6 linked regions of the Macaca mulatta genome follow. The protein of the gene in region 5 interacts with the protein of the main gene of each other region in a pairwise test. Links are inferred from orthologs where the notes say so. Each region holds a gene or a part of one and is shown on either strand. Other genes may lie near its edges. The genes, in order: LZTS2, MID2, KCTD9, AHCYL1, GEM and PDLIM7.

Region 1 (4,710 bases), on a different chromosome or scaffold from region 5:
TCAAAGGACCATCCCAAGTTCCTGGCAGAATCCCAGAGGCCTGGATCCTAGGAGACAAGTGGCTTTGGGGCCCTCAGCTTTTGGGGTCATCCGTGGGCCCTGGGGCCTAAGTGGATCTGCAGCTGCTGCCCCTCTGGGAGAGCTCCCTGCAGAGCTGGGTGCCGAGGGCCCTAGATCTCAGTAGCAGTGATCTCCTCCAGGCAGATGCAGGGGGCCTGCTCAGCCAGGCCCAGCTCCGCAAGCTCCCGGGCCTCCAGCTCCAGGCTGAGCTGCTGCAGCTCCTGCTCTAGCTGCCGGTTGCGCCGGTACATCTGGATGTAGTTGTGCTGCAGCTGCTTCTGGTAGCGGATCACCTGCTCCTTCTCTGCCTGCCAGGCCAGCCGCTCCCCTTCAAAGCTGTCCCGCTGCTCCTCACCCCGCCGCCGCTCCCGCTGCAGCTCCACCCGCAATCGCTCCACCTGGGCCCGCAAGCTGCCCCCAACCCCGGCTGCTGCCCGCTGCACTTTGGCCTCATCACTCTCTGCCAGGAGGAATGGGTCAGCGGTGGCAGGTGGCACAGCGGGCTCCCGGAGTCCAGCCGCCTCAGCATCCAACTGCCCAGCTTTCTCCCGCAGCCGCTCGGCTTCCTGGCGGTGTCGCTGCAGCTCCTGGGAACAGGCTTCCAGCTCCAGCTCCCGAGCTCGGGCGGCCTCCTGTAGACCCCGCGCACGGCCCTCACTGACCCGCAGGGTAGCACGGGCCTCCCGCAGTGCCACCCGCAGGGCCACCAGCTCGCTGCCCTTCTGCACCAGCTCTGCCTGAGACTCCTTCAGCTGCTGCTTCAGCAGGGAGATCTCGCCTGATTTCTGGCACACCTGGGGGTGGGAGGCAGTGGGGAAGGATGGTGAGACAGGTTCTCCTGGGGGGACAGGCCCTGTGCATCATGCTGGGCATTCGGGAGGAGAGTCCATCTTTATCCCCATTTTATAGATGGAGACACTGAGGCAAGTCTAGTGACATGTCCAAGGTCATAGAGTGAAGATGTGGCTTAAGTGGAAAGCAGACATAGATTTTTTTGCTTCAAAGTTGGTGTCTTCAAAGCATCACGAGACACTGTGGAAGTACCACCGAGCCCTGGGGACTGGGTGCTGGCAGGTGCTGCAGGAGTGGGGGCAATGGAGGGCAGTACCCAGGTGTCTACTGGAGAGGTACTACAGTGACTTGGTTAAGAGCTCAGATATTGGAGCCAGACTGCCTGGGTTCAGATTTGGCACTCCAGTCTTTCTGGGCCTCAGTTTACTCATCTCTAAAATGGGGAGACTAGTGGTAGCCCCCTCAGTGTTGTTATAAGGATGAAATGATCTGTCCCATGTAACATGCTTAGAAGAGTGCCTCCACACCACAAACACCACATTCTTACTACTGGCTGGAGCGTGGCTTTGTGCCACTAGACAAGGCCAACAAGGAGACCCTCCTCCCAGAAAGGAACAGAGGAGAACTTCATCTCACGGAGGTGAGGAAGGGGAGGACCTCTGGGGGTGGCAGGCTGAGGGAGGGTGCGGCTGGGCCCCTTTTTCCAGGGTTTCTCCCTGTGTGACCCTGCTCCCTGCCCCTCCTGGTCTGGCCCACCTCCCACTTGGTCTCCTCAAGCCTTGGCCCGAGCTCCCGCTGCTCCCGCTCCAAGGTGGCGCAGCGCCGCTCCAGCTGTTCACGCTCCTGCAGCAGCTGTGCAAAGTCATCCTGCAATTGCCGCTTCTCCTGCTGCAGCTGGAACACCTGCAGCTGCAGCAGCTGTTGGGCCCGCTGTGCCCGCTGTGCCTGGGCTGCACAGTCCTCTCGCAGGGCCTCGCGCTCTCGCTGCCAGTGCCGCTGCCGCTCCTCGTATGCCTGCAGGCGAGAAGACAGACCCAGCTCCTGGGCAGTTTTCCCAACTCCCCACTCAGTGTCTGCCTGGCGGCCCACTTCTGAGGGCTCAGGAAGGGTGTATTCCATCAAACAACAATAGTAATTGCAACAATACTAACTGCTTTTATAATGATCATAGAAACAAACACAAGAGCAAGCAGACCGGGCTCGGTGCCTCACGCCTGTAATCCCAGCATCTTGGGAAGCCGAGGTGGGTGGATCACTTAAGCTCCGGAGTTTGAGACCAGCCTAGGCAACACAGCAAAACCTTGCCTCTCCAAAGAACAAAAATTAGCTTGGTGTGGTGGCGTGTGCCTGTAGTTTCAGCTACTTGGGAGGCTGGGGTGGGAGGACTGCTTGAGTCCAGGAGGTTGAGGCTACAAGGAGCCGAAATCGCGCCACTGCACTCTAGCCTGGGTGAGAGAATGAGACCCTGTCTCAAAAAAAAAAAAAAAGCACTTGGCCGGGTGCAGTGGCTCAGGCCTGTAATCCCAGCAGTTTGGGAGGCCGAGGCGGGTGCCTCACTTGAGGCTAGGGGTTCGAAACCAGCTTGGCCAACATGGTGGGAACCCCGTCTCTACTAAAAATTCAAAAAAAAAAAAAAAGCAAGCATTTATGTATAGCATTTCCTAGATACCAGGCATTAGTCTAAGCACTTTACACCTTTTGCCTTATTTAATCCTCATAACAATCCTATGAAGCTAGAAATATCCCTGTTATAGATGAAGAAATAGAGGCTGAATAAAGTTAAGCAACTTGCTCAAGTCCAAAAACTGGTATTTAGCAGTGGGAGGTTTGAATCCATGCACTCTGACTCCTTTCCACCCCACAAGTTTTGTTTTTTGTTTCTTGTTTTGAGATACAGTCTTGCTCTGTTACCCAAGGCTAGAGTGCAATGGCAAAATGTCAGCTCACTGTAACCTCCTCCTCCTGGGCTCAAGTGATCCTCCTACCTCAGCCTCCCAAATAGCTGGGACTACAGGTACATGCCACCACACTCAGCTAATTTATTTTTAGGAGAGATGGGGTTTCCCCATGTTGCCCAGGCTGGTCTCAAACTCCCGAGCTCAAGCAATCCGCCCACCTCGGCCTCCCAAAGTGCTGGGATTACAGATGTGAGCCACCACGTCTGGCTATTCCACAAATTAAACCAGACAACTGGTGGGGAGGGCAGGGGGGTCACAACTACAACTACCCAACCCCTCTTCCCTGCTAAAATGGAAATGCCCCTTTCATTCCCCAGGCCTTGGGATGTCCTGCCATGCCCCTTCCCCATCATTGCCTCTGACCACACCTGGCACATGGTAGCCTCATTCTCGTCCAGACTGTCCCGCAGCTGCTGAAGCTCTGCCTCCCGCTCTCGGAGCTTTCCTTCCAGGACACAGTGCAGCAGGGCCTCGTCGGAAGGAGGTGGAGGCGGGGGTGGTGGTGAGCGCTCCCCACAGGAGCTGCTGTCAGGGGAGGCCCGGGTACCACTGCCCAAAAGCCCGGCAGCCACACGGCCCCCCAGGGAGCCTGTGCTCTTGCTGGAGGAGGACCGGCCACTGTCTGAGTGGGAGGGCCCAGTAGGGACCCCTCGGGCTGGCCCAGGCAGTGCCCCTCGCCCAGAGCCATGGGAAGGCAGGTGCCCGCCTGGGGAGCTGGTGGTTGGCTCGGCACCTCCGGTGCTGTAGGTGGGCAGGCTGGACAGTGAGTTTCGGCCAGAGTCGGATAGCGTCCCTGATGGGCAGCCACTGGCCCAGCCACTAAATGCCAGGGGTTTGTCAGCAGCTGAAGAGGAGGAGGAAGAAGAGGAGGAGGAGGCAGGGCCCCCAAACAGCTGTGTCAGGCTGCCCTGGCTCCCAGACAGCCCGGTGGCCCGAGGACCCATGAAGCTAGGCAGGGACGGAGCCCCTCGAGGTTTGGGCAGCACTGGCTTGAAGGCTGTTGGGCGGATCAGGATCTTCTCCATGTTCTGAAATGAGGTGCCATGTGACAGTGGAGATGAGCTGCCCAATCTTGCAGAACCCTTATGACACTCCCTGCCCTCCCATCTGGGGTCCCCAATGCCCATATATTCGTAACAATTGCGGCCACTGGTGGAGGTGGCCACCAGTGTCAGCTTTGTGTCAAGCAATCTGAAAGGTTTATCCCCATTATCTAAATATGATCACTATTCTCATATTACAGATGAGGAAATGGAGGCTCAGCAAGGTTAAAGGCCTTGACCAAAGCCAAACATATAACTGGTGCAGAAATAACCAGAACATAAGCAACTAGCACTTAACAACTGTATACATGCCACATGCTAGGCACTATGCTATACATTATTTGACCTTCACGTCAGTTCTAGAAACTGAGGCTCAAGTTAAGTGACTTCCCTGAGGTCACACATGCAGAATGAGAGAGAGCTGGGATTAGGACCCAGGTCTGGTGAATCTGGAGCCCACACTCTTTCCTCTATATAAGCTTCTAAATTCCAGTTTTCCAAGGGGGACTCCCGTTCTACCCAGGCCCACAAGGAAGAGCTGGTCCTCACCTTCTCCAGCTTTCCAGAGACAGGGATGAGCTTCGGTGGTGGGCCGCGGAGGTGGGCATTGTGTGCCCGCTGCTCTCGGGCATCCTCAACATCACTGCTTGGGCTAGGGGGTGACTCTGTCCGGAAGTCCTCATTGATGTAGGTGAAGCTGGTGACAGGGACAGCCTTCCTAGGAGGCACAGCTGGGCACAGCGGCTCCTGTGCCTCATAGCCACCCCGCAGCAGGCCATCCTGCTGGCGGAAGAAGGTGGGCCCAGGAGGGCCGTGGTGGCGGGGAGGAGCTGGACCCCCAGGACAGGGCCGGCCTG
Region 2 (5,364 bases), on a different chromosome or scaffold from region 5:
ACCAGTTTACATTCCCTTGGGTAGTGTCTGTACCATTTTACAATGGTGTTCAAGGGTTCCAATTTCTCCACAACCTTGTTAACACTTATTATTTTCTGTTCTAATTTTATTTTTTGTAGACACGTTCTCTTCATGTTACCCAGGCTGATCTCTAACTCCTGGCCTCAAGTGACTCTCTTGCCTTAGCATCCCCTCCTGAGTAGCTGGAATTACAAGTGTGAACCACACCTTGCTGTATTTTCTTCTGTTTTTTTTTTTTTTAAATTTTTAAATTTTTATTTTTATAGTGACCATCCTAATGGATGTGAAATGATATTTCATTGGGGTTTGACTTGCATTTCCCTGACAATTAGTGATGTTGATCATCTTTGCATATGCCTGTTGGCCACTTGTATATCTTCTTTGGAGAAATGTCTATTCAAGTCTTTTGTCCACTTTTAAGAGGTTTTTTTTTTTTTTTTTTAATTGAGCTATACAAGTTCTTTATACATTCTGGATATTAGCACATTATCCGATATATGGTTTGCAAAAGTTTTCTACCATTTTGTAGGTTGCTTTTTCACTCTGTTGATTGAGTCCTTTCCTGTGCAGATGTTTGAAAGTTTTATGGTCCCATTTACCTATTTTTGCTTTTGTTGCCTGGACTTTAGGTGTTACTCACTACCTTTTACTTCTCTTAGGGGCCAGACTTTTTTTTTTTTTTTTTTTTTTTGAGACGGAGTCTCGCTCTGCCGCCCAGGCTGGAGTGCAGTGGCCGGATCTCAGCTCACTGCAAGCTCCGCCTCCTGGGTTCACGCCATTCTCCTGCCTCAGCCTCCCGAGTAGCTGGGACTACAGGCGCCCGCCACCTCACCTGGCTAGTTTTTTTGTATTTTTTAGTAGAGACGGGGTTTCACCGTGTTAGCCAGGATGGTCTCGATCTCCTGACCTCATGATCCACCCGTCTCGGCCTCCCAAAGTGCTGGGATTACAGGCTTGAGCCACCGCGCCCGGCCGGGGCCAGACTTTCATCAGGGCAGCCTGGTTGTGATTTTTGCCTTGGTTTCCACCTCAGTGATCTCTAGCACATTGTTTCACAGGAGTGTTGACTGATTACTATTGGTTTCCTGAAGGGATATACCAAGAGATACCTCAATTTTTCTGGGCTTGTTCTTATGCACAATGATGGCAGGCGTGTGTGTGTGTGTGTGTGTGTGTGTGTGTGTGTGTGTGCGCGCGCGCGCGCGCGCGCGCTGGGGCAGGTCCTCTCATTTTCTCATTTCTTTCCCCTTGTTCTCTCTTTTTGCCCCAAGTTAGAAACAGAGTCTCTTATGGGGCTTCCTGCTCTTTCCCTCTCCCATCCACCTTTTGAGTGGGGGTCACTCCAGACCAATGGGAGGATGCTGGATTCCAAATGGACCAATTAGCTTATTAGGGACCTGGAATACCTGGATAGCTAGCATCTGCCTCATTGTCCTTGTGGTAACGACCCTCTTGTTTTACTGGTCAACAATTTGAAGGTACAAGAAAAATCCTGCTTTTTTTTTTTCTTTTGATGGCTTTAATCCACCTTCACAACTTCTGCCCGAGGCCAATAAAACACAGCCATTCTCTCTTTGTAAAAAGAAAGAGGGGTTGGGTTTCCTTCAATTGTCTGCCCTTTTCTATCTCCTCCACTATTTTTGTTTTACTCTGTAGTTAACTTTGCATAGAGCAGCTTCATGGAGAGGATCTGTGCGGTGGACCCGGGCACTCTCTTCTTATTACCGGTTGCAAAGGCCTCTTCCTTGTTCTAACCTGGGGTTTGTGGGGCTGGGGGACAGAGGAGTGGGGAGTGGGAGAAGAGTTTAGCCATAGTCTTCCTTCTGCATTTCACACACATTCTGCTCTCTCTGTCGCTCTGTCACTCACACACACACACACACACACACACAACACACACATACACACACACACACCCGCCCAGGTCCCTCTCTCTGTGTCTTCCTTCAAGATGACAGGGCGCTGGAGAAAAGGCTGCTGGAATCAGCTGGTAGGTACAGTAGTAACCCGAGCCCCACCCACCGGCTGCCTTTGCTTGCTCAGGTTTCTCCGGTCACTCCTGCCAGGGGAGAAGACATGTAAACGTGCCTCCAGAGGAAGGGCTGGGGGAGCTGGGAGTGGCGGGGGCGGCGGAAGGTGAGCCTGGGAAGGTGTCCGAGCGCCCCTTCTTCTTTGGCCCTTCCCAGTGCTCCCTTGGGGTGTCAGCCCCAACCCCGTTTGCCCCCACTCCGCCTCCCTTTTGGAAGGGATTGCCTTTTTTTTTCCTCTGCGGCGGCGGAAATGACAGTGTGGTGCTGCCGTGGTGTCATGGTGCTGCCCCTGGACTGAGGGGCGAAAACTCTTAACTTTAGCTCGGGAGACCCAGCCGCGGTAGCATCGCGGCCGCCGTGCTATCCCCTGCGGGGCGCGCGGGCTGGCGGATCCCGGCTGCTGCGCGGCGTCGGCGACGGTAGCGGCAGCTGCAGCGAAGGCGGGCGGCGGCCTAGAGTGGTGGCGGCGGCGGCGGCGGCGACCGGGGCCCTGGAGCTCGCGCCGGAGCCCGAGCTAGCCCGCTGCGGAGGCAGACGAGCGCCCAGCGCCCTCGAGCGAGCAGAGGAGATGGCTGGCACCTGGGAACGCTATGGGTAAAACGCGCCCCCTCGCCGCGGCCCTGGAGGTCGAGCGTCGTCGCCCTCGCAGGGCTCGGCCCTGGCTCCGGCCGCTTTTCAGGTGCCGCCGGGGCCCGGCGTTAGCCGAGGGCTCTCGGGCTCGGCGGGGCAGGGTGATGGGGCCCGCGAGGCTCGAGACGGCGACGGGGGCCCCAGATCAGCTCCGGCTCCCAGTCATGCTGTTGGGGCTCGGGTTCCTGCCACTGCCCTCCTGGGACAGAGTTTGCACTCCGGGGTGCGGGGCGGGGGCGGCCGAGGCCTCTGCGCAGCCGGGCCGGGCCGGGCGCGGGCAGTCGAGCGAATCCTCCGGCGCCTGGGCGCGAGTCTGGGAAAGGGCACGGCCGCCTTCCCACGCTCCCGCAGCCGGCAGCCTCTTCGTCCCCGGCGTCGCCCCTTGGCCGGCCGTCTGCCGGGCGGTGCTGTCGCAGCAGCCGGCGTGGCTGCGGACGCCCTGCCGGCGGGGAGGCCCGGTGAAACTTAATCCCTTTTCTGCCAGGGGAGCGATCCTCGAGTCTCCGTCTGGATGGTTCCTTATTTCTGGCCTAGCTGTGAAACCAGCTCTGTGGGGGAGAGGGAAAACTTACATATGTCCACAGGACAGACTGCGACGCAACCAGGGAGAGTGGGGATTTTCCATTCCTGCCTTGTAAGAATTAAGTAAATAACAGCAGAGTAGATTTACAGGAATATTACTGGTGATGATAAGGTTTAGGTTACTTAGCACTTCGTGTGTTGCACATTATTTTTCAGAAGTGTTGCTTCTTAGAGCAGGAAATTGAAATCCTGGAGTCGTTTTACTCTTTACTTTCTCTGTCTCTTCCACTGTCCCCTACCGTTTTCATGATCACTCACCTTCCTATGTCACAACACTTACATGACTATGGAAATCCCCCACTAGAGCGCCTTGGACCCCAGGCTTTCCCCATCAACCTGTGCCCTCCCAGCCTCCCAGCCATGCTGCATCTTACTTCTTCAACCACTTTGCCTTTTGAGGATTTCTGAGTGTGGGGCGGATAGATGGTGATGGTTGTGTGTCTCTGAGGATGAGCCCTTATAAAGGAATATATTGGAAACTAAATAGAGAAGTACCGTGTGTGGGTTGATCCCTCTGATTCTCAACTTGGGCCAGAAGGGCTGCCTTTAACCCCATTCTGCTCCGTCCCAGTACTCTAATCAGTTCTCTGGCAATATTCCAATAGAAGGGAGTTGCTGAATAGGGAGTTCTCCTCCCCTACTTTTCTTCTGTTTGGGGAGTGGTTTCATTCTACCCCAGATGGTTAGCTTCCCCCTCCCCACCCCCCCGACACTCACATCCCCCTGTCTGTCTCCTCTCATGACTGTACTGAGGGAGAAACTGTCTTTGCTATTTTTATATATTCCTGCCCAATCAATGAACTTAACATGGGTATATAATGTGAATTAGATTTCTCCTGATTGCTCCTCACAACTTGATTCATGTGTTTGATAAAGTTTGGATATTTATCCCTGCCCAAATCTTATGTACAAATGTAATCCCCAGTGTTGAGGTGGGGCCTGATGGGAGGTGACTGGATCATGAGGGCAGATTTCTCATGAATGGTTTAGCACCACCACCTTGGTTGACTGTGAGTCCTTGTGATAGTGAGTAATCTCTCCTGAGATCTGGTTGTTTAAAAGCGTGCGGCACTTCCCCCCAGCTCTCTTTCTCCCTTGCTTCTGCTCACACCATGTGAGAATCTCCTGCTCCCCATTTGCCTCCCTCCATGATTGTAAGCTTCCTGAGTCCTCCTCAGAAGCAGATGCTGGCATCACACTTCCTGTACAGCCTGCAGAACTGTGACCCAATTAAACCTCTTTTCTTTTTTTTCTTTTCTTTTCTGTTTTTTTTTTTTTTTTTGAGAAAGGGTCTTGCCTCGGGCTTAAGCAATCCTTCTATCTCAGCATCTTGAGTAGTTGGGACCACAGGTGCATGCCACCACACCCAGCTAATTTTTGTATTTTTTGTAGAGATGGGGTTTTGACATATTGCTCAGGCTGGTCTCGAACTCCTGAGGTCAAGCGATCTGAGGGCCTCACCAAGTGCTGGGATTATAGGCAAGAGCCACAATGCCCAGCCTACCTCTTTTATTTATAAACTACCCAGTTTCAGGTATTTCTTTAAGGCAATGCAAGAATAGCTAATGCAGTGGTTAAAACACAGGTCCAGGAGTCAAGAAGATCAGAGTTCATCCCAAATCTGATGTTACATTGGCTTATGGCTTTAGGACATTCCTATGACTTTTCTTTCTTAGTTGGTGCACTTGTGTAAAAGCTATAATATTGTGTACTGGGTATTGTTAGTCTTGACTTGGTCCTTTGAAGATGAAAGGGTTCTGTAAACCCTCAGCATTATAATTTTTTTTCCCCTTTGAGATGAAGTCTCGCTGTGTCACCCAGGCTGGAGTGCAGTGGCGTGATCATGGCTTGCTGCAGTCTTGACTTCTCTGGCTCAAGCAATCCTCCTATCTCAGCTTCCCTAGTAGCTGGGACTATAGGCACACACCATCACACCTAGCTAATTTTTGAATTTTTTGTAGAGACAGGATTCACCATGTTTCCCAGTCTGGTCTCAAACTCCTGAGCTTAAGGGATCCACCTGCCAAAGCCAAGTGTTGGGATTACAGGTGCGAACCACCACAGCCGGCCAACATTATACTTTTCAAAGAAAGCACTTCCT
Region 3 (5,273 bases), about 77 Mb from region 5:
CACCTAAGGTCAAGAGTTCAGGACTAGCCTGGCCAACATGGTGAAACCCTGTCTCTACCAAAAATACAAAAATTAGTCCCAAGTTATGCAAGAGGCGGAGTCAGGAGAATAGCTTTAACTTGGAGGGTGGAGGTTGCAGTGAGCTGAGATCACGCCACTGCACTCCAGCCTGAGTGGAAGAGCAAACCGCTGTATCAAATAAATAAATAAATATAAAGATAAAAGTAAAAAACGAAAACCAAAAAATAAAATCAGAAAAGAAAAAAAATCTGAAGCCATTTGTCTTCATGTCCTAGAAAGTATTTCTAAATATCTTGCTAACTAGGATGACTCATCCTGTCAATGGCTAATATTTCAAAGAATAACATACACTTAGGGAGAGGCTGATTATTAATAGCAATTAATAAATAGGACTTCAACTAGTCTTCTTGAAAACTCAGCACTGTTTCAACTTCTCAGGCCCAAAGAGATCCACTCTTTTTTTAGTCTCATGGTTTATACATACTAGGAGAAGTGGCAGCTCCTGCCATTTCCTCATTGTTTACTTGTGCTTGCATAATTCATATTGACTTCAAGCTGCAGTTTCTTTGAAGTAATCCTTTAAGATCACTTGGCATTTTGGTGAGGGTTAATTTAGTTAAAACTAGATATAAATCTTAACGTGGCAGTTGTAAGCTTCCACAGCACAATGTCAATGACAACCAATCAGTGAAGAAGCCACTATTAATTAACCTTTTCACATGTGAAGGCCCTCCCTTCTTACAGGAGACCTGAGACCAGCTGACATGTTCAATGACTGGAGGCACCTGTGTCTTTCCAGATCCAAAAAATCACGTTTCCATATTATTTTATATTTTTAAGTGTAAGATACAAACAAAAGGTATATTTCTTCCTGACCTCCAATAAATCATCTTGGACACCGTCCGTGGTGTGCCATCTCACTCTGGAAACCACTGTTCAGAGAATGCATAGCCCTCTCTCCAACATCAAATACATTCACCACTAGTTACATTTATTCAATACACAGAAAATTCGTGGTGAGCATGTAACACAGCACCTTGGAAGAATTCTCTGCCTCTCCACACCTTTCCCCGGGCTTTATAGTCCCACAGTCTGGTAACCACTAAACAAGCTATAAGAGGGAAACTTATTTGAAAAAAAACAGATTATTCTTATAACCAGGAAATAAAAGCAGAAGCGAGGTAAAGGAGATAAAGTAAGTGGTACAGATATTCCAACTGGTGGATGGGAAATCAAATTCTGTTCTATTTGAGTAGCACTTTTCCCTAGCTTATTCTTAATGAACATTCATGTCATGATCATGCCAATCCAATTAGTCACTTTATATATAAAAATGCAAGCTGTTATGTATTATGTAGCTCTTTTGTCAAATAAGAGTAATTATAAAATTTTTTAATCAACTGAAAGGAGAGAAAGCACTGCCAACGTTATCTTAGAATATGTTCATCAGCTGAGCAGTGAAGATCACGGCTTTGTTTCTTTTTATCTAGTATTCTCCAGTTTGGATTTTTATGATCGTTGTAACATGAACATATTCATATTTAATTATTTGAGATGCATTTCCCCCAATCTTCTGAGATTCTCTAGCAGAATATTTTTAAAGTAAATAAAATTTAAATCCAAGAATGTAGTCAAAACTAGATAGTTTAAAAAAAATCCGTGTGAACAATATGGAAAGACCAACTCAGTTAATTTTTGACAACCAAATTGAGTGGATTCGGGAGAGATTTAGAGCAAAAATATTTATGACTAGGTCTAAATATTTGTCTTCCATGAGTAACATAGCAGAGATACTGCATTAAAAAGGTCAATCGGAAGTTTGTTTTTGAGAAATATTACCAATTTTGGATATACTCAATCTTTAATCTTAGAGTAACAACATACGTTTTAGATAACACCAGCTAACTACAGAACAGGTTTAGAAAAAGTTAATAGTGATGAGAAATGTAAACTTCGTGAGCATATTTTCGGGGTAGCATTCATGATAACTCGAGAACTCGAATTTATACCAATTCTGTTTTAAAATGAGTATTAAATCTCTAGGACCAGAAGAACACAAAATTATAGCCAACAAACCACACTCTGGTTCGAATTTTCAGGGCATGTTTACTCTACACTGAATAATGGGAAAGCCATTTTTAATGCCACTGGACAATTTCACTATTTAAAAATTTACAGTGTTTCCCGAATGTGCAGGCACCAGAGTATTTTGGCAACTAACACAGTGAAACCCATTTACCTTTACCTTAGACTCGTAAAGGCTGAGTTACTTCTGGGTGTCATTTAGCAACGCAGTAAATGTCTGCCTTGAACAGTCAAAATTTCCCAAAGTAGCAGAACAACTTTCATGGGTGGGGCAAAAGGCTGGGAAGGAAGAGAATTCATTTTGGCTTGCTCCAGCGCTGGAAGAACACTTAGCACCACACCCTCCGCAAAGGCCTACCTAACACAGCAAAGGCGACTGTCAAATCGATCCCTTTTGGGTCTGCTGTCCCCGTCCTCTAGGGAATCAAAATAAGGCAAAATAATAAAACGAGTACAGAGAAGTTTGGCGGCGTCGGGGAGTGGGGGCTTGAGGCATCTCAGAGAGAAGGGCAAAAATCAACAAGAAAATGCCCCCATTTTTAAAATCCTGTCTTCGACCTCGGATGGGAGATTTTGTTTATCCACGGGCAGTTTACTTCTGTCTCCCTGACCCAGCTCCACAGGCTCTGGTGCTCGCCGCCACTTTCCGAGCAGACCATTACTCAGCACGGGAGCCGGCGCGCCTCCTCCCGCAGGCGGGAGCGGGGTCTCGGGGACAGGCGGGAAGAAGCGCGACCGCCCGGGCGCCCAGGTGACCGCGGCCCTCTCCGCTCCCCAGTCCCCGCGCCCCCTGCACCGCGCATCCGGGAGCCCCGGAGCCCCCGGCCCGACCCGCGCCGGCCCCCAGGCAGCTGAGGCGCCGAAGGGCAGGCTCGGGGACAGGGGTCCTGAGGGTCGGGAGGAGGCCGCGGGGACCCTGTGCTGTCCCCGGGCGCCCCCAGCCCGCGCACGCCCACCTCCCAGCCCCTCTGCCCAACTTCACGGCTGCCCCGCCAGCCGGGTCCGCACCCTCCACCCTCGCCCCGACCCACGGCCCGCCGCGCCCACTCACGCCCCCGTTACCTTTCCGTTCTTAGGGCTGCCGTTCAGGAACAGGGTCACCCGCCTCATCGCGCTGCCCCCGCTGGGTCCTGAGTGAGCCGCCACCCTCCCACCTGGTCCTACTCCCACCTTTTTCTCCTCCCGCCCTTCCCCTCCCTCCACCCACTCGGATTCGCCTCCCTTCGCCACCTTCCTGCCCTTGGGGACACACCACACACACGCACTCTGTCCCACACCCAGGGCTCGGCCGGTCCTCCTTCCCACCCCGCCCCTAGGCTCCTCAGCCTGCCTGGGGCCCTTCCCCCACCTCTCCGAGACTGACATTCAGCCTACCAACCAACCTGCGTCACCGGCCAGGGTCCAGCCAATCAGCACCCAGTATCGGGCGGGCCCTGGCTAACCTAGCCGGGATGGAGGGAGGGAAGAGACGCTGAAGGCTAGTAGACGGGAAGGGGCATCAGCCAATCAGAGAGGCTCCTGGAGCCGGACGGCGACTTACAGCGTTACTGAGCAGGCGCACACTCAAGTCTAGGTAGCGCTCATCTGCATACGAGGGCGGGGTCTACGGAAAGGAGGTGGAGCGCTGAAAGGGACCCAAGCACCAGTCAGCCCCTCCTCCTGCGTTAGCCCCGCCCACAAGCCGGCCCAGCGAGGAAACGGCTGCGGTAGGGACGGAGTGATTGGGTAAGAGCCAGCTCTTCGCTCTGTTAGGATTGGTTGAATGAGTCTTTTCGAAGTTTGCAGCATCCAATAGAAAGGTGGGAGGCGGAGTTAAAGCGCTAACAGAAGCGTTACTCCGCGAGACTCTCCTGGAAAGTAGTCCCCGCGGTCACAGGTCAGTAGTAGGTGTCTGTGGTCGGCGGGTTGACTGCAGCTCGCGGTGGCCCCACTCCGAGCCCAGGAAGTCACTGGGAGGGCTCGGAGTGTGCGCAGACCAGAGAAAGGGGCGGTAGCGGAGTGATTCGTAGAGTAAGTTCGGCATCGAGGGGCGGGGCCGGGAATTTGAATCGGGCGGCGGGCGGAGGAGGCGGCCGGGCGGAGCGAAAGACAGGGACTGCGCGGGGTGTGAGTCCGAGTCGGCCTCAGGGACCCTGGACTCCTTGTTCGGAGAGCGGTTCCCGGCTACGGGTGCTTTGCCAGCAGAGCCCTTCCGGACAGAGGAGCCGGGGTCTGGAAGCAGCGACCTACGCGAAGCTCGCCTGCCTCGGGGCTCTGAGATTAAGCCTATCTGCCTGGCGGGCCTTCAGGTGCGGCGTGAGAGGTAGGATTGCAGCCACCCTGCCATGGGGCTGCTTCTCCGGGGCGTTTTTATGGCGTTTGTTCGGCTTACCCTGCAGCACAGAGTTAGTACTCCTCTCAGGAGCTGCTCTGGGTGACCAGGGGTGCATCCGGACCTGCTGAGACAATTTCTGGAAATGGACGGAGCTGCGTCTTGAGACGGGTACCCTTATGATTCAGGTCTTCACTTCGGTTGAAAAGCCATGGCTTATCCTTTGGGGTCTGCTTTGGTGCCTGAACAGCAGTTTCCTCCATTTCTTTCTGTTTAATTTGGCCTTAAAAGTACGCGCTTTGAGTAGAAGAATGGTTAGCACAGGCTGGGAAGGGTATTGGGGCTGAGTGGGAGGGAAGTGGAGTTGGTTAACAGGTACAAAAACATAGAATGAATAAGATCTAGTATTTGCTAGCACAACAGGGTGACGGTCCATAATTTAATTGTGCATTTAAAAATAACAAAGTGTAATTGGATTGTTTTTAACAAAAAGGATAAATATTTGAGATGATGGCTACCTCATTTACTTTGATTTGATTATTACGACTTGCATGCGTGTATCAAAATATTTCACGTACCCCATAAATATATACATCTACTGTATACCCACAGAAATTAAAATAAAAAATGGAACCTGCGACGTGTGTTTCTATGCCAGTATGGACTGTATTACAATTCAGTCTTGAATGAGGTTTGTGATCAAATCACATTCATCTTGCTGGTGGGGTTATTTTTCATTGTTTCTCTTCACCTCTTAGATGGATGCCAATTCAAAAGACAAGCCCCCTGAAACCAAGGAGTCTGCAATGAATAATGCTGGTATGTGATGATCTGCTGCCTCCTTGGGAAGTTAAAG
Region 4 (5,492 bases), on a different chromosome or scaffold from region 5:
GGTGGTCCTGGCCAGGTGCAGTGGCTCACGCCTGTAATCCCAGCACTTTGGGAGGCCGAGGCGGGTTGATCACGAGGTCAGGATTCGAGACCAGCCTGGCCGAGATGGTCTGTCTCTACTAAACCCTGTCTCTACTAAAAATACAAAAATTAGCTGGGCATGGTGGTGCACGTCTGTAGTCCCAGCTCAGGAGGCCGAGGCAGGAGAATTGCTTGAACCCGGCAGGCGGAGGTTGCAGTGAGCCGAGAGCACTCTAGCTTGGGCAACAGAGAGAGAAAAAAAAAAAAAAAAAAAAAAGTGGTCCTGGGGAGGAATTTAGGGAAAGGACACTGGAAAGACTAGAATTGCTCAGCACAGCAGAGGAGAATCTGGCTTCCCAGAGTCCATCAAGGAAGGAAGGATGAGGTGCAGGGATGGGAAGGGAGGAACAGGAGGAAGCTAGATTAGATGGCAATGGGCTAGGGAGCGTAGTGGGATCTTGTGGCCATTGAGAAATCCCTGGGTGGTGAGACAGCCAAAATAACTTTTCAGAACATTTCAGAAATGTGATCTTAAATTGTTTGCTCTGTGATGTAATCTCTCCCCTGTGACCCACAAACCTTTATGAAAAGTTTTACTACATGTTACAGCCTTATTTTGTATTTGTTTAGCATGGGGTGGGGGTTGAAAGAAGAAGCAGCAGAATTGACCCCAGGAGCTACAGAAACAGTCACAAGATCAGAATAGTGAATAAAATGCCAAACAAGGCAAAACAACAACAACAGCAACAACAAAAAAGTAGAACCAGAGGTGACCATGAAAATCCAAGTCCTCCCAGTAATTCACAGAAATCCCGGGGAGGGCACTGGACTTTCCACAGGACATGGTAATTAGAGCCAATGTCATTTGAATCTCAAAGGACAAGCTACCTCAGCTGACATTAGGTTACAGGCAGGCTTTGCCTCTCCAGCTGAACTAAGCCTTGCAAAACATAAAATGCGTCACATGCCCTTTTGCCAGCAGGGCCTTAGCACAGGCACTGCACATAGTAGGCCCCGTAAAAGGGTGTGAACGGTCCATGAATGTCCTGGATGCCCACTGAGAGCTGTAAGAGTCTAATGCTTTGGTGGAGCAAGGACCGGAAAGCCATTCTGGCTGGGGACTTCTCCATCAGCTCTCCTGGTCTCCACCCTCATAGCCATCAGCCCTATTCCAATGAGGGTTTTGTAAACAGGCAAGGCCCAGTCGGAGATGATGGTGGAGGAAGTCACAAAGGGTTGTGCAGAAACCAGACTACTCTGAGTCAGTTCTGCCCCCTATGAAGTCAAAGAGGCAGGCACTGCCCCTTGGGAAGGAGCTTTAATACAAACGGCCTGGGGCTGGGGCAGTGAGTGAGTGAGTTGTCTCAAGCCCCGGACTTTTCCTAGGAATGGTTGTAGGATGTGTCGTGTTGGGCTCTGGTCTTTGCTCCCAAATACCCTTTTTATGCGCCGCTGAGGCCTCGCCAGGAACCCCGCAGCCCAAAGACCCTCCGTTTCGCAGCGTCGTTGCATGAACCACGCGCTCCTCCCAGGGCTGATGGTGCCACCTGGTGGCACAAAGAGTCCTGCTCACTCTGGGAACTTCGCTCTCGAGCGGGAGAGAAGGAGCGGCTTCTGTGGCCCAGCCCAGCGTGGTGACGTCACGACAGAGTGCCGTTTCTCCCCGCCTCTTCCCCCTCCCGGGAGCTGCCAGTACTTGACGTGGCGTCACCACCCTCTACCCTCGCTTTGCGTGCGTGTTTGCGTACAGCGGAGGTGGCGGCGCGGGCAGGTCGGAGCTCGGAGCTGCTGCTTCTGGTTCTCTTGTGGCCGCCGTCGCTGTCCGGCTGCCTTGAGCTGCTGAACAGACGAGGCGTGGGCCACAGCACCTCAGAAGCCAACGCAGCTCGACGCAGGGCCCGGCGGGAGGGTGGGCGATCGCGTGTCGGAGGGCGCCGCGCGGGCAGGCGGGCGGGCGCCTGAGGGGGAAAGAGGCGGGGGCGGCGGGTCAGCCGCGGGCCGGGCCGGCCGGGGGATGTCGATGCCTGACGCGATGCCGCTGCCCGGGGTCGGGGAGGAGCTGAAGCAGGCCAAGGAGATCGAGGACGCCGAGAAGTACTCCTTCATGGCCACCGTCACCAAGGCGCCCAAGAAGGTGCGGGGGCTCTGGGTGGCGGCGGGGGCTCGGGCTCCGGCCTCGCGGAAGGGACGCGAGCAAGCCCGGGCTCTGGCTAGTTTGGGACTTCTGGGGCTGGGGTTGGGGTGACTGGGGACGGCGGAGGTGATGTAGGGGGTGACGGCTATGCGGCCCCAGGCCTATCCCGGGTTGAAAAGGCCGCCTCTGACCTCGCTTTCCTTTGTCCCTCGGCCCAAGTCCTCCGGGATCGTTTTGAAACCCGACAGGGCCAGGCCTTAAATTTGCGACTGACTTTTCCTAGATGAAGGTCCTCGAAGACGAGAGTGGGAGGGGGTGAACCAACTCAGTTGACCCTGTGACCGGTCCGGGGGCATGGGGTGTACAGAAAATCTCCTTTCATTTGAGTGGGTAAATCTGGCAGAACTTCCGTCAGATCTTTGGGAGCAGTGGTCGGTTTATCCAACAACTGCGTGATAGCTGGGAGGCAAGAGAAAAGAATGCGTGAAGCTAGCTCTGATATACAGGTGAAAGCAATGAGAGTAACATGAAATTGAAAATCTGTGATTTTCACTTTCTACAGCCTTCCAGTTACTCCGAAATATGTAAGAAATTGACATTTGGAGGGTGGTGACAGCAGACACTGTCATGGATACAGGTGGATCCTAGAGTCATGTGAATAGATTACTTAGGCATCCCTGGAGAAAGGAGCTTGGGTGGGTTGGAGTGGTGGGTGGTAAGGAAAGATTGCTCACTCTTGACTGTACTTTTGAGGCAGAACAAGTTTGATCTATTGTGCTGTGGGTTGAGCTCAAAGGACACCCTTAGAATTCTCTCATAAATGGCAACCTTTGAAGATGTTAGTCTCACTAGCTCTCTGAGTGGTGGAATTGGGATCCTTATTGCTTTCTGATCATTTACTGCCAGCCACATCTTGATTATCCATACACCTGGCACCCAGTTAGCAGTAGATCAGAGAACCTTTACGAAGAGGTGACCTTCCTGAAGCCAGTGAGAACCCAGATAAATGTCTCCCTTCTCTATAAAGACGGAGTGTTACAAAGCTGTGTCTGCCTGTATGCAGTGTTTAATAGGATGCAGGGCTGAACAAAGCAAGGGCTGCAGGAATAGTTAAGTCCTTGAGGCTTCAACTAGTTAAGCTGTCTTAAGTGGGAGAGATGGCTTTTTTTTTTTTTTTTTAAGTGAATTAACCTGCCACTCCAGAAATCAAATGCAGGATTAAAAAGACAAGTCGCCATTGTGTGCTTTCATTCTGTTTTTTCACAAAATTAAGAATTTAATTCTTTAAAAGGTTGTGGAAGATCCCTTGACTCTGAGGCATCTGATTAACTTTAGTGCTGTCAGTTCAGTTGACTGCTTTGTTGGGACAATGACCCTTTGCAATCTGCACTATTCTTTGGAGAAACAGTCAGTCCTTATAAGCAGAATGATTGAGAGTGGGACCTTAGGTGAGTTAGAGGAAAGAATGGAAAAGCCCTAATACCTGAATTTCCTAGACTCTGACATCTTTGCTCTTACTTGCCTTTATGTTAGTAAATCTCTATTCTTGAAAGTACCTCTGTTGATAAGACAAAGTCTATATTGTAGATTGTAAAAACTCATTAAGGCAGGAATTCTTGTTCACCTTTGTATCCAGTGTGCCTAGCGTTGTACCCAGCATATAGTAGGTACTCAAATATTAATTGCCCACCTGGCTAACTAGTAACTGAGATGTCCATATAGCTACCTACCAGGAATAACTATCCCTTTTCCCCTCTTCTTCCCAGGAGGAATATTACTAATGTGTATTATTGTCAGGCCAAGTGCTGATGATTTTAGACTTACATTGCATTAGCTAAAAGAAGCAGGCTTTGCCAGGAATGTGGGAAGACCCCGTTTTAAGTTTCCATTTGCCAGTAAATGTGCCCCACCGTGTTCCTTATTAATCTTTCTGGGTTTTATTGTTCAGCATTTACGTAGTACTTTGTAATAAAGTGTTTTATGATGACTAATTACCCTTTCCCTAGTGATGATAAAAGACATTTATTTAGTTAATGGATCAGTTGAGGACTAGTCAAGGTCACATAGCAAGTCCTAGTCTGTTTTTCAGAAGTGCTGAACATTATGACTTAAGTCACTTTTGTACCTCTGCCATGTGTTGATAATGTGAGAAAGCATGGGAAAAGTAAGAGGGAAAAAAGTAACTTGGCGTGGTACTTGATGGTGTAGAAAAAGACCTCTTCAAATGGTGCAGTCCTTCACCTATGAGAATTCTACCCTGGCTCTAGACCAGTAATCCTTGGATTATTCTGAAGCCCTGAGGCCGGCCTCAGGAATTGAGGATGTTCTTGATACCAGAGAATATAGGTTACTTCAGGGTGACCTTGATGATCCTCAATTAGATCAGATCCCAGTGTCACTTTCTGGTCAGCTTTTATGCATTTTGTTTGCTTTGTTTGAGATAGAGTCAGTTTTTATTCATTTTGTTTGCTTTGTTTGAGATAGAGTGGATGTCCATCAATTAAAAGTATAAATATCTAGATTCTTCAACTATAATCATGACTTACTCAGTTTTGTATGCCAAGGTCTGTCACACTGCTGTGAACAAAATAGGACTTGTTGGTTTGATTGAAGATTTCAGATATCTGGGTGTCGAGAAGTCAACTAAAGGGGTATGACCTTGAGCAAATTAATTAGCTTTTGTACCTCCATCTCATCTGCCAAATACATGCCTATTTTTTGGAACAGGTGGAGATAGGGGCATGTTGGGGAGTTAAGATAGCAAGTGTAATTTTTTAAAAGTCTTATTTATATATTTATATTCTTCAATGGGTATTTGAAGTGGCTTATAACACAGAACCTATATGTGATATAAGAGGAAGTAAAAACTATAGAAAGAATGAAAAAAATATTGTTAACCTCGAGGGCTAAGATAGTTGATGAGGTCGATCACATGCAACTTTAAACTTTTAGCAACCAGAGGATAAAAAGAATCATAGTTACAGTCTCCTTAGCAGGCATGGGAAATAATACATGTCAGTTCCTCAAGAGGACAACTTTTCCTGACACAGAGTTCTAAAAGAATTTTTCACGGGACTATCTTAATAGCTGTAGTATAATTCACATTGCAAGGCTTGTTCACGACTGTCACTGGTGATTTCAGATGGTATGGCTAGGAAAATTTGAGGTAAGAAAAGGAATCCTTCAGTTGTAAGAGTTAAGTGTACCACAACTGAAGAAGATCCTTGTTTAATGTTGGCAGTTATCAGTCAAACCAAGTAAGTAATGTAGTTCCCCATAACCCCTGGTTATTTATGCCTCTTTTTCTGCTACTTTGTGTAACAGGAGTGATAACTGTC
Region 5 (5,282 bases):
TCATTTATAGCCCACTTCCTGAGCTGCCTCATGAAGCAGTGAACTCCTTGACACTGAGACAGTCAAGAAGAATAAAACCTCCAGATGAGATGGGCTGTGGGTAGTGAGGAATAGTATTAATATGCATCAATGCAGGGGAGAACTGAGTCATCGCTGAGACACCTCCCTACTCTGTGATTCAGTTGTGAGTCGCGACAGAACACAGAACATGTGACTTGGGGAAACACTGAGCAGTGCTTCCTTTATTTCTGTAGCGGTGAATAGGGACACGTAACTACCCTGGTCGCATACGCTCAGACTGAAGCCGTGGCTGAAAGACACTTTATGGACGGCATTGGCTATCAGGATCTTCATATTACTTAGCAGAACATAGGGCTGTACTTTACCCCTAGCTGAAGAATACATGCATTTTGAGATAATGTCACCTCAAAACAGTTTTGGAAATAGGCCAGGTTCCAATCAATAAATAGATGAAATAAAATTGTACAGGGAAAATTGTCTTGAAAAGCTGTCAGACTCTATACAAAGTATCATTGTTATACTTCACATTTTAAAAAATTATTATACTATTTCAAATACAGATTTTGAACTATTTTACACCCACAAAAGTTTCTAATATTGGTAGAAGCAAACTGATCAAGCCATCCTAACAGCTTTTCCAACTGGCTTGTTTTAGGTATAACCATGGAAAAAGGCTGTGCCTATACTGAATTCCGGGAAGAATGTTCAAGTCAGAGTCAGCAGAAGTCAGAGGTGGGGCGCTGACCCTCTGGCTATGACCAATCTAATCAGCCTTCCCCCACCCATTTAGAATTGAAATCTGAAAAATTCCCTTTCTGGCCCAGGTTCAATAGATTTTGGTCCTGTCTACAAGCTTTTTCATTTTATTGCCCTGAGAGCCTGTGCTTGGGCTTTTCTGGAGACTCAGCTCCCCCATCAATTGTCCAAAATGCATAAACCTTAGCTCCCAACTCTGCAGGTAAATAAGCCACCCACCTTCGCTCTTTCTTCCTGGGCCACGCCTGATGGAAAGAAGCCCACTGGGGCTGGGACACCTACCTCCCAGCACCTCGCAGTCGCTGTCCATGCTGTCATGCACACCTGCAAAGATGTTGGCCAGAGTGGACTTGCCCACCCCCTGCTCCCCTATGAGCACCACTCGGTAGTAGGTGTTCCCTGACTCAGAGGAGATGACTGAGTCTGTGGAGTCAGAGGACCAGCTTCGGCGGCAGTGGTCCTCAGGGGCAGCAGAATGGCGGTTTCGGTGGCTATACTGGTGGGGCTCTTTCTGGACCATCAGATGCCTGCCATCGGCTGGGATGCTCCAGCGCTGCTGCTGCGGCTGCATGCCCACAGTGCCCTGGCGCATGGTGACATTCAGAGTCATCGTTGGGTCCTGGGGAGCAAAGCAGCCAAGATGGCAGCATTAGTAAGCATGAGTGAGAGCTCTGCTCAAATACATGGTCAGTCATCAGTAATATTATATTAGATGAGATGAGAAGCAAGTATCCCTAACATAAAAAACACCAATTAAACAGTCTCCAAAGCCCAACAAGACAGGCTTTCAACTGGACACACACACACACACACACACACACACACACACACACACACACACACTGCTCACACTGTCAGTAACCAGCTCCTCAGGCAGACTGTCATTTGCATGGAAAAAATAATACTGTTAACATCAACCACTGCCCATGGGCTTACCCCTTCCTCAAAGCAGACCTGGATCAAAGAAGAGCTGCACTCGGAGCTGGCACAAAGGCAGCTGGAAAGAACCAGCAGCCTCCAGAGATGACTTAAAAAGCAACAAGTTAATGTTGCTGGGGACCAACTGGTCAGGTTAGCTGCTCTTGTCTAAACTTGGCTCTTAATTGCACCAGTGTCCAGCAGGTTTTGTGCCTCAGTGGGAAACACGTGGCAATGACATCACCCCCACCCCTCCCCACCGCAACCCTGGCTGGACTGGACAGGCACTTATTGGAACTTCCATGTTTAGTAAAGTTGCTTTGATGCTCTCCAGCTGCCTGGAGAGCATCCACCTGCCATTATTGGGGGTAGAGGGGAAATTTTCTGCTTAAAGTTTATGCCTCAGCTGTGCCCTCTTATCCACAGATGCCACTTTTAAAGCATCTCAGCTCCAAACCTAGACACCCTGGCAGAGAAATGATCTGCTCATGTTCAGACCTAGCAAATTTGCACAGAAAGTGCCTCATTCTTAACAAACCACGTCCATTCTCAAGAGTTCTTTAATTCAACTCAGATTCCTTTCTTGAGACAGAGTCTTGCTCTGTCACCCAGGCTGGAGTGTAGTGGCAGGATCACAGCTCACTGTAGCCTCCAACTCCACTTCAGCCTCCCAAGGAGCTGGGACTACAGACCTGCACCACCACGCCCACTAGTTTTTTTATTTTTATTTTTATTTTTTGGTAGAGACGGTGGTCTCACAATGTTGCCCAGGCTGGTCTCCAACTCCTGGGGTCAAGTGATCCTCCTGCCTCGGCTTCCCAAAGTGCTGAGACCACAGGCCTGAGCCACCATTCTCAGCCCCCCTTCTTGAAGCAAATCAGAAGGCTGAAGACTACCCTAAATGATATTCAACAACTTCGCTACAACTTTCCCTTTGCAGACTGCCTCCCCTAGCCGGAAGGTCTGTTTTTCGGGCTACTGGCGACGAAGTGTAAGTAGGCACATTGCAATCAGCAAGATGCACAAACAGTGCTTTCCCACCCTCACCCCCACACTCCATACCCCAACACCTCGCCACTAACCAGGACCACCAGCTGGTTTTTTAGTCTCAAAAGCAGCACCTCAGTTGGCAGACTTACATTCAAACAACAAATACATAAAGCATCATTAAGGGCTGCCCTCTCTGACCACTCGATCTGTAGGAGGAGGTGACTGTCCTACCGAATTGAACTAAGGAACCTGCTGATGAGAAGCGACATCCTTTGCACTTGAAGCTCTGACCCCCACCAGAAAATCCCAGCACAGAACGCACGTTTCAGGGGTTCTTTTCTCAACTTCGAAAGTTCTGCGGGCTGGGAAACTCCCACTCTCTCCCTTCTCCGTCCCGGGCCGCCCCCTTACTTGGCTCGGCCGGATCGGCGTCGGGGCGTCAGCGTATCGCGTGGGTCTGCGCTGGGATACCCGGGCCAAGGAGCGGGTAGTGCTGCGCTGTGCCCGCCGTCCGTGCCCGCCGCCTACAGCCGCCGCGGCCGGGCGGTTTATAACTAGCCCAGCCGACCCGCCGCGGGGCTTTTCCGTGACGTCAGCGCCCCCGCCGGGAGGGGGCGGCTCTGCAGCAAACTCGGAGTTGCAGCCACTTGGCTAAATCGGTTACTCGCAGTCACATGACCCCTTCTCTCTCCATTTAAAAAATAATGACAGTTCAATCCTGGGCCTCCTTTATTTTGTTTTATTTTCTTTTTTACCAGGTGAACACAGGAAAATGGAAAAATACTCTAAGTGCCACTTAATCGTCCTTCCCAGCAAAACACTTGCAAGCTAGCGGGATAAAGGATGGAGGGAGAAGCAGGTTTGAGTTGAGAGCTCAGCTTTGCCAAGAAAACAGGGATCAACCTGGAATGCGCAGAGACTTTAGCCTCCAGGATGAGACTGCAGCCACCTTGAATGGCCAAGGCTTGTTTTAACCGCATCTTCTGCAAGGAAGACAGCCTCTGTCACCTTCTCTCTGGATAGGGGGAAGCAGATGGAGCCCCACAAAGCTTTGTTTCCCTTCTCTGGCAAGGACCCAGAGAGAAGGGGCCAGAAAGAGGTGAGGAAAGAGGACAAGACCTTGAAAAGGGCAGTTTGGGAAAACAATTTAATTGAGGATCCAAGCAGATTGTGCTAAATGTTGTTGGCCCTGCTGCTCTGGGCCAGAATGCTGAGGCTCCTCAATCAGGGAATTTAATCAGCATCTCAATCACCAGCATCTCTGTACCAGGCTCCCTGGCAAGGCTACACCTTGGGCATGAGCCAATACAGCCTGGCCATGGGGAGGAGCACTGAGCCCACGGCCCCTATGAGAGACTCCTGTGAACAAAGGGCACAGGATAATAACTACTACTACCATTTACTATGTACCTCTGAGGACCTCTGCTTAGTAGGTACTGTTAGGCCTCCTGGGACCTTAATCCTTACTACACTCCTGCAAGGTGACTCAATTGCTACCCTCATTGTATGGAGGAGGAAGATGACATAGGGCCAGACAACTTGCCCAAGGTCATACTGCTGGTATAAGTGGCAGGGTCAGGACTCAAAGCCTGGTTTGCCTGAGTCTCTGCACTGCACCACTAAGTGAAGGATTTCAATGACCTCTTTCCGGGGACATGGGTATTTCCCAGATGCTGTGTTTAGAGATGATGCTGGCCTCTCCAACATACTCGTCCGCTTTTTCAGCCAGCTTCATCTCTGGGTTGGCTGGTGGCTCCGGGAAGCAGCCAAAGGCACCAGCATCTATTGAAGCAGTGGACTCTGCTGTGATTAGAGTCGATTCACAGTTATCCTGCAGGCATTTATCTGCTTTGGAAATTAGCTACATGACCAGCTGCTGAGACCTGCTAGGTCCCAAGCTAGCAAAGGTGGAATACACAGAGTAATGAAAACTTAGAATTCCTTTAGTCTCAGGTTTGTGGCCCCAATCTCCTACTTATCTTATACATAAGAAACCTGAGACCTAGAGAGATGATGACCGCTTAGGACATGGCAGAGCTGGAACTACAACCTGGGGATCATAATTCTCTGGATGCCCTTTGCTTCTGTCAAGTTTTTCTTCTGGGTTTAGCTGACAGGGAGTGGCTACAGATGTGGGGAAAGGGAAAAAGGAGGAGATGGGGGTGAGGAGAGATCATCTCCAAGGGTATATCACTGACTCCATTCTAAAACACATGTAGTTGATGAATAATCTGCGTTTCAAAATGTTCCATGCTTTTTCCATACTGACACTCCTACTCTGTCAACTGGTCTCAACAGAAACATTATAGGAGTAAAAACTAAGAAGAAATCAATTTATAAGCATATGATATAGTTTCTTAGTTCTACTTGTGCCCATTGATAAGAACCTGATACTTCACACTCATAAGAACCTAATTCTGCCCAGGCGCGGTGGCTCATGCCTGTTATCCCAGCGCTTCGGGAGGCTGAGGAGGGTGGATCACGAGGTCAGGAGTTCGAGACCAGCCTGGCCAACATAGTGAAACCCTGTCTCTACTAAAAACACAAAAAAATAGCCGGGCGTGATGGCGGAAGCCTGTAATCCCAGATACCCAGGA
Region 6 (3,488 bases), on a different chromosome or scaffold from region 5:
AAATTAGAAAATTAGCCAAGTGTGGTGGTGTGCACCTGTTGTCCCAGCTACTTGGGAGGCAGAGTGAAAGTGAAATCTCCTGCTTTTTATTTCTTTATGTATAACGATAGGGTCTTGCTCTGTTGCCCAGGCTGTAGTACAGTGGCATGATCACTGCTCACTGCAGCCTTGATCTCCTGGGCTCAGAGGATCCTCCCACCTCAACCTCCCAAATAGCTAGGACTAGAGATGCCCACCAGCATGCTCAGCAGATTTTTAAATATTTTTATAGAGATGAGGTTTTGCTATGTTGCCCAGGCTGGTCTTGAACTCCTGGCCTCGAGCAATCCTCCTACCCTGACCTCCCAAAGCACTGGGATTACAGACGTGAACCACTGTGCCCAGCAGATTTCACTTGAGCACCTAGATTTCAGCCTGAGCCAGGCAGGCGTTCCTGAATGAACCAGTAGCACCGTTGCCAGAAGAAGAGGTGCTCCTCCGTATGACACAGTCCCCACTTGACCCTTGCAGGGATTGGATCTGGGATCCCTGGATTTAAACTCAGGGCTATCCTCATAACAGCCTCACAAGGCCGGGATTAGCTTCCCAGTTCACAAGGGAAGAAACCAAGACTTGAGAAGGTCAGGGTCTGGCCAAACCCACAGATCTCTGACCCTCATGCCGCCTTGAGGCCCCATGCTGCCCTCTGCCTGCTCCAGAGGTGAATACTGCTGGCCCTGGCTGGCCCCGAGGCTCCTAGCGAACAGCCCAGCCCAGGGAGAGCTCAGCACCTTGTGCCTCTGGCCCCTCCCACCTCCTGCGGAGCCTAGTCAATTCACCCACAAAGGGCCAGGCACTGTGGGGCTAGATCAGCTAACAAAACAGTTGATGCTTCATGCCCTTCTGGGCCTTACGTTTTGGCTGGAAGAAGAGGGGAGAGGCAGACAGTAAGCAATAAGCGCAATAAGTAGACTGCCTGGAAGTAATGTTAGATCACATTATGGAAAACAGGAAAGAGTAGAGCAAGAAGCGCTTGGGCGTGGTGTAGGGAAGGCAGCTGGCTGCTACTCGTGTGGTCAGGGTGGGACCTCGTGGAGAAGACTGCATTCGAGCGGAAACTTGAAGGGGGTGAGGGGTGAGCCTTGAGATATCCGGGGCAGAGCAGTCCAGGCAGAGGGGACAGCCAGTGTCAAGCCCAGGACAGGAGCGTGCCGGGTGTGCCAATTTCAGGCAAGAGGCCAGTGTGCGGAGGCAAGGTGAGAACGCAAAGGAGAGCAGTGGGGGAGACAGGTGGGAACGAGGTCAGACCTGCTGGCCTCCAGCGTCTGCATGGGGCTTGGTTCTTGCTGGGAGAAATGGGAAGCGGTAAGGGGTTTCATGCAGGAGGATACAGACTGTCTCGGGTTGCAGGGGTTGCAGGGGCCTGCTGCGGCAGCTGGGATCAGAGGGAGGAGCTGTAGGCCAGTTGTGTGTGATCCCAGGGGCCAGATCGCTGTGGCTCACCTCGCATCAGGGAGGCTGTGAGCAGCACGCAGAATCTGGATATGCCTTGGGGGTGGGCCCCACTGGATTTCCTGGGGGACCTGGTGTGGGGTGTGGGAGGAGGGTGTGTTTGGCTGCAGCAAATGGGAGAATGGAGTTGCCATCCGTGTTACGGGGATGCCTGTGGGAGGAGAGGTTTGGGGCGAGGGGATCAGGAACTGAGTACTGGACATGGCAGGTCTGAAGGCGCAGTGGACATCCACTCAGAGACCTTGGAGATGGAGATGGAGGCATGGGAGTCCTGAACGGTTAGATGTAGTGTTTACTATGAGAAGGAACAGGGCCCGCGGCCAGCTGCCCTGTGTTCCCGTGACCCAGGGGAGGGCGGGAGGGGCCTGAGCCTGCCGAGTGACTGGCACCTCCTTCCAGGAGATCATGCATGCCCTGAAGATGACCTGGCACGTGCACTGCTTCACCTGTGCCGCCTGCAAGACGCCCATCCGGAACAGGGCCTTCTACATGGAGGAGGGCGTGCCCTACTGCGAGCGAGGTACCTGCTGGCCAATGAGGGTGAGGAGGGATGGTGCATGGGGCAGGCATGAATCCAGGTCCCCTTCCTCTCTGCTCCCATCCTCAGACTATGAGAAGATGTTTGGCACGAAATGCCATGGCTGTGACTTCAAGATCGACGCTGGGGACCGCTTCCTGGAGGCGCTGGGCTTCAGCTGGCATGACACCTGCTTCGTCTGTGCGGTGAGAGCCCCGAGCCTTGGCCTCAGCCCCAAGTCCACCAGCCCTCTGTTTATTGCCTGGGGGATGCAGGAGAAGCTGGGAAGGGGCCTCTACTGCTGCCCCCAACCCCATGTGACTGGGCCTTTGCTGTCCTTAGATATGTCAGATCAACCTGGAAGGAAAGACCTTCTACTCCAAGAAGGACAGGCCCCTCTGCAAGAGCCATGCCTTCTCCCACGTGTGAGCCCCTCCTGCCCACAGCTGCCGCGGCGGCCCCAGAGCCATGGCCTGGCATTTCTGGGTAGGGCTGGCAATGGTTGCCTTAACCCGGCTCCTGGCCCGAGCCTGGGGTTCCCCGGCCCTGCCCCACCCGCCTTATCCTCCCACCCCACTCCCTCCACCACCACAGCACACCGGTGCTGGCCACACCGGCCCCCTTTCACCTCCAGTGCCACAATAAACCTGTACCCAGCTGTGTCTTGTGTGCCATTCCCCTGTGCACCCGGAGGGGTAGAACTTGAGTCACGTGGCAGGGTGGAGAGTAAGAGGGATTTCTTGGGCTGGCCATCTTGGTGGCCCTCGTGATGCGGACGTGGCAGGCTCATGGTTAGTGGAGGAGGTATAGGCGGGACCCCATGTGCCAGGCCTGGTGCCCACAGACATGAGGGACGCCACTGGTCTGGCCTGGCTTGGAGGTTAGAGAAGGGTAGTTAGGATGGGCGTGGTGGATCACGCCTGTAATCCCGGCACTTTGGGAGGCCAAGGCGGGCAGATCACTTGAGGTCAGGAGTTTGAGACCACTCCGGCTGACATGGAGAAACAACGTCTCTGGTAAAAATACAAAATTAGCTGAATGTGGTGGGGCGTGCCTGTAATCCCAGCTACTCAGGAGGCTAAGGTGGGAAAATTGCTTGAACCCGGGAGGTGGAGAGTGCAGTGAGCTGAGATCATACCGCTGCGCTCGAGCCTGGGTGGCAGAGTGAGACCTGGCCTCAAAAAAAAAAAAAAAAAACACACAGAAAGGTAGTCGTAGTTGGGGGTGGATCTGCAGAGATACGGGGTGGAAAACAGCAATGGCCACAGCAAAGGCCTGGAGGGGCCAACTGCCGTCCAAACAGAAGATGGGACTGGAGAGGGTAGCCTTTAGGTCCCGGGAGGCCACAAGTGCCAGGCAGTAGAGCTGGGGCTGTCTCTTGAGGTCAGGGCAGGGCACGGCACAGCAGAGTTTGAAATAGATTTGTGTTGTTTTCTAGAAAGAGGCCCCAGGACACTGAGCGGGTACAGGAGGGAGGCTG

What was found.
Region 1: the proteins of GEM (region 5) and LZTS2 interact in binary tests that used the Homo sapiens proteins (3 or more experiments, as listed by UniProt). The two-hybrid records come from large-scale screens. The link is inferred for Macaca mulatta from reciprocal best matches to the Homo sapiens genes GEM and LZTS2.
Region 2: the proteins of GEM (region 5) and MID2 interact in binary tests that used the Homo sapiens proteins (3 or more experiments, as listed by UniProt). The link is inferred for Macaca mulatta from reciprocal best matches to the Homo sapiens genes GEM and MID2.
Region 3: the proteins of GEM (region 5) and KCTD9 interact in binary tests that used the Homo sapiens proteins (3 or more experiments, as listed by UniProt). The two-hybrid records come from large-scale screens. The link is inferred for Macaca mulatta from reciprocal best matches to the Homo sapiens genes GEM and KCTD9.
Region 4: the proteins of GEM (region 5) and AHCYL1 interact in binary tests that used the Homo sapiens proteins (3 or more experiments, as listed by UniProt). The two-hybrid records come from large-scale screens. The link is inferred for Macaca mulatta from reciprocal best matches to the Homo sapiens genes GEM and AHCYL1.
Region 6: the proteins of GEM (region 5) and PDLIM7 interact in binary tests that used the Homo sapiens proteins (3 or more experiments, as listed by UniProt). The two-hybrid records come from large-scale screens. The link is inferred for Macaca mulatta from reciprocal best matches to the Homo sapiens genes GEM and PDLIM7.

The regions. Positions count from the first base shown.
Region 1 is NC_133414.1:113,066,179-113,070,888, reverse strand, and holds part of LZTS2 (leucine zipper putative tumor suppressor 2), read right to left. Parts: coding exon 4,403-4,710; intron 3,839-4,402; coding exon 3,179-3,838; intron 1,867-3,178; coding exon 1,609-1,866; intron 855-1,608; coding exon 171-854; 3' UTR 1-170. UniProt on the Homo sapiens protein: Negative regulator of katanin-mediated microtubule severing and release from the centrosome. Required for central spindle formation and the completion of cytokinesis.
Region 2 is NC_133426.1:114,596,020-114,601,383, forward strand, and holds the start of MID2 (putative E3 ubiquitin-protein ligase MID2), read left to right. Parts: upstream 1-2,010; 5' UTR 2,011-2,641; coding exon 2,642-2,645; intron 2,646-5,364. UniProt on the Homo sapiens protein: E3 ubiquitin ligase that plays a role in microtubule stabilization. Mediates the 'Lys-48'-linked polyubiquitination of LRRK2 to drive its localization to microtubules and its proteasomal degradation in neurons.
Region 3 is NC_133413.1:27,201,700-27,206,972, forward strand, and holds the start of KCTD9 (BTB/POZ domain-containing protein KCTD9), read right to left. Parts: upstream 3,292-5,273; 5' UTR 3,217-3,291; coding exon 3,169-3,216; intron 1-3,168. Other genes in the region: CDCA2 (cell division cycle-associated protein 2), read left to right, coding at 5,176-5,236. UniProt on the Homo sapiens protein: Substrate-specific adapter of a BCR (BTB-CUL3-RBX1) E3 ubiquitin-protein ligase complex, which mediates the ubiquitination of target proteins, leading to their degradation by the proteasome.
Region 4 is NC_133406.1:130,211,388-130,216,879, reverse strand, and holds the start of AHCYL1 (S-adenosylhomocysteine hydrolase-like protein 1), read left to right. Parts: upstream 1-1,814; 5' UTR 1,815-2,034; coding exon 2,035-2,154; intron 2,155-5,492. UniProt on the Homo sapiens protein: Multifaceted cellular regulator which coordinates several essential cellular functions including regulation of epithelial HCO3(-) and fluid secretion, mRNA processing and DNA replication.
Region 5 is NC_133413.1:104,656,480-104,661,761, forward strand, and holds the start of GEM (GTP-binding protein GEM), read right to left. Parts: upstream 3,250-5,282; 5' UTR 3,097-3,249; exon of another isoform or gene 3,008-3,096; intron 1,887-3,007; exon of another isoform or gene 1,714-1,886; intron 1,397-1,713; 5' UTR 1,388-1,396; coding exon 997-1,387; intron 1-996. UniProt on the Homo sapiens protein: Could be a regulatory protein, possibly participating in receptor-mediated signal transduction at the plasma membrane. Has guanine nucleotide-binding activity but undetectable intrinsic GTPase activity.
Region 6 is NC_133411.1:186,467,670-186,471,157, reverse strand, and holds the end of PDLIM7 (PDZ and LIM domain protein 7), read left to right. Parts: intron 1-1,890; coding exon 1,891-2,011; intron 2,012-2,098; coding exon 2,099-2,214; intron 2,215-2,350; coding exon 2,351-2,437; 3' UTR 2,438-2,670; downstream 2,671-3,488. UniProt on the Homo sapiens protein: May function as a scaffold on which the coordinated assembly of proteins can occur. May play a role as an adapter that, via its PDZ domain, localizes LIM-binding proteins to actin filaments of both skeletal muscle and nonmuscle tissues.